Canis lupus familiaris: one gene and its partner. The main gene of each other region encodes a partner of the protein of the gene in region 2 in a complex. Links are inferred from orthologs where the notes say so. Each region holds a gene or a part of one and is shown on either strand. Other genes may lie near its edges.

Region 1 (4,176 bases), on a different chromosome or scaffold from region 2:
AGTGCAGCCCTGTGGAAAGTTTTCCTCCACAGAAGCTGAGTAGAACAGTCCTGCTAAAGAGACCAATGGAATAAGGACAGTCAACGTAGGAAGAGACAGAAACATTCTTCTCCCCCGCTTATTACCTGCCACTCTGACTTTTAAAAAATTAAGTAGTATTAAGAAAATGCAGTTGTAGGCGTTGCTTTTAATTGTGATCTAGTGCTGCTCCGTTTCTTCTTGCTTCTTATTCTGATGTGTCATCCTAGCTGCCTGTGGTATCATATTAGGAATCCCATCAATAATTGGATAGGCTATTCCCAACTCTTCATTAATCAATTCATTTGTCGATGCTTCATATCTGAGGGGGGAAAAGAAAAACAAAATGAATTGTGGAAAATAAAATGCTTAGAAGTGCGTGGTCTTCAATAAACACCACCATTTATCCAATTCTTGACAGAGAGTTAAATTCCAAAAAAGTAGAATTAAACTGCTTCTAGGGTTGCCTGGGTGGCTCAGCAGTTTGGTGCCGTCTTCAGCCCAGGGCATGATTCTGGGGTCCCGGGATCCAGTCCCACATCGGGCTCCCTGCATGGAGCCTGCTTCTCAACCTCTGCCTGTGTCTCTGGCTCTCTGTAGGTCTCTCATGAATAAATAAGATCTTTAAAAAAATAAAAAACTGCTTCTAATTCTAAAAACAGTATTAGCCAACTGAAACATTTCTCTTAGAAAATGAATCTCTAATTGTTTGCATTTTGGTCAGTTTCTCTTGTATTTTTTCATTTTATTCTCGAGCTACACCTTAATATGTATTTTTAAAATCCAGTTAGAAGATCTTCCCTTTTCATCAAAATATTCCTTCCTAACTCTGGTCAACCCCAAAACCATCCCAGTTAATTTACTACTGAAACAGCCACTAGAGGAAAATTAAAATTCCCCACTATTTTAGAATGCACGCTTAACACAGCAACCTAATTGAACCACTGGAAGGAAACCACTGAAAATCAAGATATACAAAATAAAAGTTTGAGGAGGAGAGAGCAGAAACGAGGAAACTGAAAACAGTGCATCTGCAGCTAGTTACACAACTAAACGGTAGATCAAATGGTCATTTCAAGGTATAAGAAAATTGAGTGGGGATCCCTGGGTGGCGCAGCGGTTTAGCGCCTGCCTTTGGCCCAGGGCGCCATCCTGGAGACCCGGGATCAAATCCCACGTCGGGCTCCCGGTGCATGGAGCCTGCTTCTCCCTCTGCCTGTGTCTCTGCGCCTCTCTCTCTCTCTCTGTGTGTGTGTAACTATCATAAATAAATAAAAATTAAAAAAAAAAAAAAAGAAAATTGAGTGTCTTCATTATGGGAAAACATCTCGTTAAGAGAAACGTAGAAAGATTGAAAAAAAAAAAATGACTAGCAATCCACCACCCAAAATAACCACTGATAACAGTCTGGTGCAAAACTAGTGTTGTCAATGTTCAGTTTTAGTAGCCTGGGGGTGCAGAGTTCTTTTAAAAAAAAAAAAATTTAAACTCGGGCAGCCCCGGTGGCGCAGCGGTTTAGCGCCGCCTTCGGCCCAGGGCGTGATCCTGGAGACCCGGGATCGAGTCCCACGTCGGGCTCCCAGTGCATGGAGCCTGCTTCTCCCTCTGCCTGTGTCTCTGCCTCTCTCTCTGTGTGTGTCTCATGAATAAATAAAATCTTTCCTCATTTGATTAACATACAGTGTATAATTAGTTCAGAGATAGAGTTTAGTGCTTCATCAGTGGAACCTAACACCCAGTGCCCATGACATCAAGTGCCCTCCTTAATGCCCGTCACCGGTCACCCATCCCCCCACCCCCAGCAACCCTCCGTCGGTCTCCTAGAGTTGGTCTCCCTCTCTGATTCCGTCTCCTTCTATTTCCCCTCCCTGAGCTGTTTTCCCTAAGGATTCCAGGGAGACAGACCCTACGACTCTGCAAAACCCAGCCCGTCCAGAACTAAGAGCCAAAGGCGCAGCAGCGCACGCAGCTTAAAAGTGTTTAAGGCCGTCACGCATCAGCTGTAGATTTCCATAAGAATTTTTAGTCATTTTTCACCATCTTGGCTTAAAAACCTCACACCCACGGGCCAGTCCCGACTCCCAACAGTTCCTAAACCTGGCGGCGCGCGAGAACCACTTAGGTCCTTTTAAGAAAACGCCTCGCGCTAGTCCGGCCCCCAGCCCGGCTGACTGGGTCGGTCGGCGCCGGCGCACCCGAATCGGCATTTAAAAAAAAAAAAAAAAAAAAGTTCCCCCGGCGAGGCGACCGCGCGGCCAGCGCGGAACCTTCCAAGGCTTCCAGCCGCGCCTCGGCGGTGGGATCCGAGCGGCCCGGGATCGGCTCGCGCCCGCCTCCCCCCTCCCCCGCCCTTCCCGCCGCAGTGGGCGGAGCCTGGTAGCCGCAGGGCCCGGGGCCACAAAATGGCTGCGGGCAACCCCGGCCCGAGCCGAAGGGCTCCCCAGGGCCGTGAGCGGCCGCGCGAACCGAGGCCGGCCGCCGGGAATCTCACCTGAGCGGCTTCTTGGAGAGCGGGCACACCAGGAACTCGAGCAGCGCCGGGTCGAAGGCGCGGGGCGGGCCTCCCGTCCTCTCGCTCTTGTCTGAGGGCCGCCGCGACCCCGACGCGTGAAGGCGCCTGCGGGCGACCGCGAACGACGGCCCGCGCGGCCCCCGCAGTGCTGAGGCGAGCCGGCCGCACGCTCCGCTCAGCATGGTCTGGCAGCCCGCACCCGCCGCCCTGCCAGCGCCCGGCCGCTTCAGCCGCTTCCGCCGCTTCAGCCGCTCCCCGCGCAGCCGGCCCCGCCGCCCGCCAGGCCCCGCCCCCGGTGCTGCGGGAATGCGGTCCCCGGGCGGGCGGGCAGGAGGCAGCCCTTGGGTTCCGGGGGCGCTGCTGACGCGACTGCTTCTTCCCGCCCACCGCTCGGTAGTTACGGCGGGGCCCGTAGCCGCGGGGCTCCAGTGGCTGTTCGCCGCGTTTACCGATGACTGACAAAGCCAGGGCTTGAATTGGGGGCATTTTGGGTTTTCACCAGGGCTCATCGCAGGGGAGCCAGGAAGCCGGTGGCCGGATCTCAGAGTCCCACAGGGTTAAGCTTGCACCTACGTGGTCATCTCCAGAATGAGGTTTCGAACACGTATTGGGTATCTTAAAAGCATGGATTTGTTTTATGTAAATTACCATAGCACCTGTAACCTTTCCCCCCTCCCCGCCCTTTTCTTATTAAATGAAAACTTGAGGGGCCCCTGGGTGGCTCAGTGGATGAGCGTCTGCCTTCGGCTGAGGTCGTGATCCCAAGGTCAGGGGGTAGAGTCTAGCTCAGGCCTGACCCCGGGTCCTGGGATCGAGTCCCGCATCAGGCTCCGCGCGGGGCGCCTGCTTCTCCCTCTGCCCGTGTCTCGGCCTCTCTCTCTCTCTGTGTGTCTCTCATGAATAAATACATAAAATCTTAAAACACACACACACACACACACAAAGAAACTTTAGAGCCTGAAAAGAATAGCATAGGCCTCTTAACCTCCCAGAAGTCCAGCTTCTACTGTGAATTCAACTGCATCATAAAGCGCAGCCAGTTTATAAATGAGCTGGTGACAGCAAGGAGTCTGAGCAACTGTGCAACCAAGCGGGTGGATGTACCTTAGTTGGATGGCAAATCCGCTCAGTGGATTTTCCGCGCCAGGTTTGCATCTGGTGCTCTAGGGAAGTGGTCTCAGGCTTGATCTCTTTCTTACCATGAAGGAAGGGTTGGGCTCTGGGGCCTGGCAGCTCGGTTTCTGGTCCGTGCTTTACTAGCTGTGTAAGTCCAGCCAACGACTTACCCAGTTTCTTTTTTTTTTTTTTTAATTTTTTTAAATTAATTTATTTATTTATGATAGTCATCAGCGAGAGAGAGAGAGAGAGGAGAGAGAGAGGCAGAGACACAGGCAGAGGGAGAAGCAGGCTCCATGCACCGGGAGCCCGATGTGGGATTCGATCCCGGGTCTCCAGGATCGCGCCCTGGGCCAAAGGCAGGCGCCAAACCGCTGCGCCACCCAGGGATCCCCCCACTCAGTTTCTTTATTGTATGATAAGATAATGGCACCTACCTCATGAAATCTCCTTGTGGGCATTCAAATGGGATCTTGCAGGCAAAGAATATTTAGAAGAGTGATCCGGACAATTAACAATTGAGTTAATGC
Region 2 (4,226 bases):
GCAGTCGCTCCTCTCTAAAGATTGCCATTTATGGGTCTAGACTTTTGATGGTTAAAATGAGAAAATTTCAAATTAAAGCAGAGGAGAAAAAGTAAGATGTAGAGGAGGATGGAAGTGTTCGGAGAGGTAGCATCCAGGGGCAAAATTCTTTTGTATTGTTGAGTGGTGGTTGTAGAGAGGGAGGTTCATTGAGATCTCCTCCCCCCTGCCAAGCCTATACTCAGTGCCTGCTTTTGTCTGAGAAACCCAGGCCATTTCTGGGCTTTGAGCACTCATCTTGAGTTTCTCAACTGACCAGATTTGCCCCTCTGATAACTGCCCCAGAAACCATCTTCTGTGACATCTTTCTCGAAACCTTTGGCTTCAGTGACTGAGTGATTTACCTTTTGGGGAGGCTGAGCACTAATGGCTTGTTTATGAGGCTGGCCTCGCTAAGCCAAGGAATCTTGCCAAATTTCGGAACAGAAACCTGGAAAGAAATGGAAAGAGATCATTCCGTGGAACTTATTGCATTTGAACATTGCCATCAAAACAATAACCAAAGTGAGCTAATGGCAGCTATATAAAAGTCAGCACTTTACAAAACATTTTTATGACGAGGGCCTTTTGAGTCTCCTATAAAGGATCCAAGAGCAAACAGTGTTATCTCCACTTTACAGATGAAGAAATCAGAGCTCAGGCGTTGTGATTTGCCAAGTCACACGGCTCATAGGTGGATTCAGGTTTTCTGACTTTCGTGCCCTCTATACCTGGCCTTCTACTCTACCTATCCCTTTGCTTCTTTATTACTTCCATCTGTTGGTGCACCTATGCAGCCGGCTGAATTATCAGCAGCCTCCCGTTCAGTCCCAGACTGTTTTCAGCCGCAGGGCCCTCCGCTCCCGATTCCTTCCAGGCACCAAAGAGGAATGAACAACACGCTGAAGCCGCGGACATGGCACGTTAATCTGTTAATCCACTTTCCAGCTGGTGGCTTTGGGACAGCTCACAAGGTCTCTGAGCCTCGGTTTTGTCCTCTTGGGAAGATATCATCACTTTCCAGGTCAACGCACAAGACAGAGAGCTGCAGGAGAGCAGGGATTTTCGGTTCCACTCACTGTGGTGTCAAGAGCCCCCCTAGGACAGTGCTCGCAGGTGCTCTCCGAATACCTGTCCAGCGAATGCACGGATGCGTGGCAAGTCCCCAGTTGAGGGCCTGACTGAGTAACAGGAGCGCCTAAGAGTCGGCTCTACAGTCTCTCTTTACCAGCCCAGCCTCTGTCCCCCGGCGTTCGGATCCCAAATAATCCAGCCTTTCGTTGCGGCGCTTGCTTTTTCCTAGGCTCCGAGCGGCGCGTCCTCGGGAGAGGAGCCGGGAGTTCCGCGGGTCGCCGGCAGGGGGCAGCAGCGACCCCCGCAGTTCCGCCGGCCGGGGAAAGGCGCTCTCGCCGCGGGGGGGGCGGACCCGGAAGTGCTCGGCCGGCGTCGCGAGCGCCGCGGAGCCCCGGATGGGAGCGGAAGTGGGCGGCCGCCTCCGTCCGGCCGCAGAGCCCCGGGAGCTGCGGGCAGGTGGGTCCTCGGGCGGGCGTCCGCGTTTCCGGGCCTCCTTGTCCTCCGCCACGCCCGCGCAGGCGCAAGGCCGGTGAGCGGCGGCCGCGGAGGGGGAGTGGGGCGTCCCCGGGGACACCTGGCCGACCCCGCGGGGGGGGGGGGCGGGGCGTTGCCCTGGGCGACGGCGGGAGCGCGCTGGGCTGGGGGCCCTGCGGCCGCCAACGGGGCTCCAGGGCGTCTGGCCGGTGCAGCCCAACTCGCCGTGGTCTCCGTGGAGGGAGTCAGGTCGGGCAGTAGGAGTCGCCTTCCCGGGCTTGCTGGAGGGAGGACTCGGGTCCTTCTGCCTCCTTCAGGTTTCCTTGTGGAGAAGGGGTCGTCGTCCGCGGGCCTCGCGAGAGTTTCCCGCCAGGACGCGAGCTCTTTAAAGGAGGTTAAGCTCGCGAGGTTCGTGGGTGAAGACCCTTGAGATTCTAAACCGGGAGCTCGTGCCTTTTTGTATTGTGCGGTTTACTGTTGTCTTTAGACTGGTACCTTTTCTTCTTCTTCTTCTTATTTTTTTTTTAAGATTTATTTATTCATGAGAAACAGAGAGAGGCAGAGACACAGGCAGAGGGAGAAGCAGGCTCCCTACCAGGGGCCCGATGCGGGACTCGATCCCGGGACCCCGGGATCACGACCTGAGCCAAAGGCAGACGCTCAACCGCTGAGCCACCCAGGCGTCACTGGTACCTTTTTCTTTTTTTTTTTTTCTCCTTTTTTGGTATAATGCCTTTGAGGTCTCCATCAATAAAAGCTCCGGATCCTATCCCTCGAAATTTGCACTAATTGCAGCCACAAGGATATGGTGACAGGGAGAGTGTTTTGGATGCTCTGGAGCCCATCCACAGACCTCAGGGATGTGTGAACCCCTGAGGGAGACATGACGTGAGGCTCAGGCTTCCGGGGAAAGACGTGGGCCTGAATTTGGCGCCACTGTTAATTTGGGCTAAAGTTGTCTGAGCAATCTGAATCTCAGGTATTTTTACTGATTAAAGTGGAGCTAATGCTGATTTGAAAGGAGAGGATTAAACGAAAGAAGCTCCAGAAGGCACCTGGCACATAGTAGGCGCTCAGAGAGTAATAGCTGACAGATGTCTGTTGTTATCTGTGGGATTATAATTAAAATCTGATGTGAAGTGTTAACGTCCATAATTATAAAACAGCCACCGCATGTATTTTTGCTCAGACTTTTAATAAACTGAATTAGTTTGATTTTTAACTCAGTCCTTCCCTTGACCTTTGACAGCTTTCCTAGGTTCATAGTCTCTCATTTTCCAGGAACTTGGCTGCATCATCCTGCCTCCGGGAACAAACTCTTCGAGTTGAGGCCTCGTCCGGGTTGCTGCCTTTGAAAGCAAGGGAAGGTCGGTACACTTTGAACCGCAACACAGCATGGAACTTCCAGAGAGGTCTTATTGCAAAACTGTGTAAAGAACAAGAACCACCTGGACTTCTGGAAGGGAGCTCAAACTGGCCTGAATTTGAAGGAGGGGATAATGTGTGCCCAACCTGTAACTGACACAAAGGAGATCAAGTGGCAGAAGGTCTTGTATGAGCGGCAGCCCTTTCCTGATAACTATGTGGACCGGCGTTTCCTGGAAGAGCTCCGGAAAAACATCTACGCCCGGAAGTACCAGTACTGGGCTGTGGTATTTGAGTCCAGTGTGGTGGTACAGCAGCTGTGCAGCGTTTGTGTTTTTGTGGTTATCTGGTGGTACATGGATGAGGGCCTCCTGGCGCCCCACTGGCTTTTTGGGACTGGCCTGGCTTCTTCACTGATTGGCTATGTTTTGTTTGATCTCATCGATGGAGGCGAAGGACGGAAAAAGAGCGGGCGGACCCGGTGGGCTGACTTGAAGAGTGCCCTCGTTTTCATTACTTTCACATATGGTTTTTCGCCAGTGCTGAAGACCCTGACAGAGTCTGTCAGCACCGATACCATCTATGCCATGTCAGTCTTTATGCTCTTGGGCCACCTCATTTTCTTTGACTATGGCGCCAACGCTGCCATTGTATCCAGCACACTGTCCTTGAACATGGCCATTTTTGCCTCTGTCTGCCTGGCGTCGCGCCTGCCCCGGTCCCTGCATGCTTTCATCATGGTGACATTTGCCATCCAGATTTTTGCCCTGTGGCCCATGTTACAGAAGAAACTGAAGGCATGTACTCCATGCAGCTACGTGGGAGTCACGTTGCTTTTCGCATTTTCAGCCTTGGGAGGTTTACTGTCCATTAGTGCTGTGGGAGCCATCCTCTTTGCCATTCTGCTGGTTTCCATCTCTTGTCTCTGCCCTTTCTACCTCATTCGCCTGCAGCTTTTTAAAGAAAACATTCATGGGCCTTGGGATGAGGCTGAAATCAAAGAAGACCTGTCCAGGTTTCTCAGCTAAGTTAGAGACTTCCATTCTGTTATTAAGGCAAGCTGATAGACTAGCCTCCCAACTAGTAGAAGACTCGAAGACAGTCCCATCCTGGAAACAACATACTGATGTGGGGGTAGGGGAACAGCAGTCAAAAGAAAGAACTAACCAAAGGCATGGGTGGTGAAGATGCTTGTCCTTTCTGTTATTTTGTGGATGAAAATGCTTTCTGGGGCCCTCCTCAATTCTTGCCTCTCATTTGCTGTAACAAATGAAGTGGTGTGGCTTCTATTTATT

Evidence for each region.
Region 1: PIGC (region 2) and PIGY share a complex: the UniProt entries of both Homo sapiens proteins name them as parts of the glycosylphosphatidylinositol-N-acetylglucosaminyltransferase (GPI-GnT) complex. The link is inferred for Canis lupus familiaris from reciprocal best matches to the Homo sapiens genes PIGC and PIGY.

Annotation. Positions count from the first base shown.
Region 1 is NC_049253.1:28,141,974-28,146,149, reverse strand, and holds the start of PIGY (phosphatidylinositol N-acetylglucosaminyltransferase subunit Y), read right to left. Parts: upstream 2,801-4,176; 5' UTR 2,713-2,800; coding exon of another isoform or gene 2,510-2,712; intron 341-2,509; coding exon of another isoform or gene 199-340; 5' UTR 106-198; coding exon 1-105. Other genes in the region: PYURF (protein preY, mitochondrial), read right to left, coding at 199-340, 2,510-2,712. UniProt on the Homo sapiens protein: Part of the glycosylphosphatidylinositol-N-acetylglucosaminyltransferase (GPI-GnT) complex that catalyzes the transfer of N-acetylglucosamine from UDP-N-acetylglucosamine to phosphatidylinositol and participates in the first step of GPI biosynthesis.
Region 2 is NC_049228.1:26,429,952-26,434,177, forward strand, and holds the start of PIGC (phosphatidylinositol N-acetylglucosaminyltransferase subunit C), read left to right. Parts: upstream 1-1,426; 5' UTR 1,427-1,548; exon of another isoform or gene 1,549-1,621; intron 1,622-1,879; exon of another isoform or gene 1,880-2,057; intron 2,058-2,194; exon of another isoform or gene 2,195-2,255; intron 2,256-2,815; exon of another isoform or gene 2,816-2,847; 5' UTR 2,848-3,065; coding exon 3,066-3,959; 3' UTR 3,960-4,226. Other genes in the region: C7H1orf105 (uncharacterized protein C1orf105 homolog), read right to left, coding at 384-469. UniProt on the Homo sapiens protein: Part of the glycosylphosphatidylinositol-N-acetylglucosaminyltransferase (GPI-GnT) complex that catalyzes the transfer of N-acetylglucosamine from UDP-N-acetylglucosamine to phosphatidylinositol and participates in the first step of GPI biosynthesis.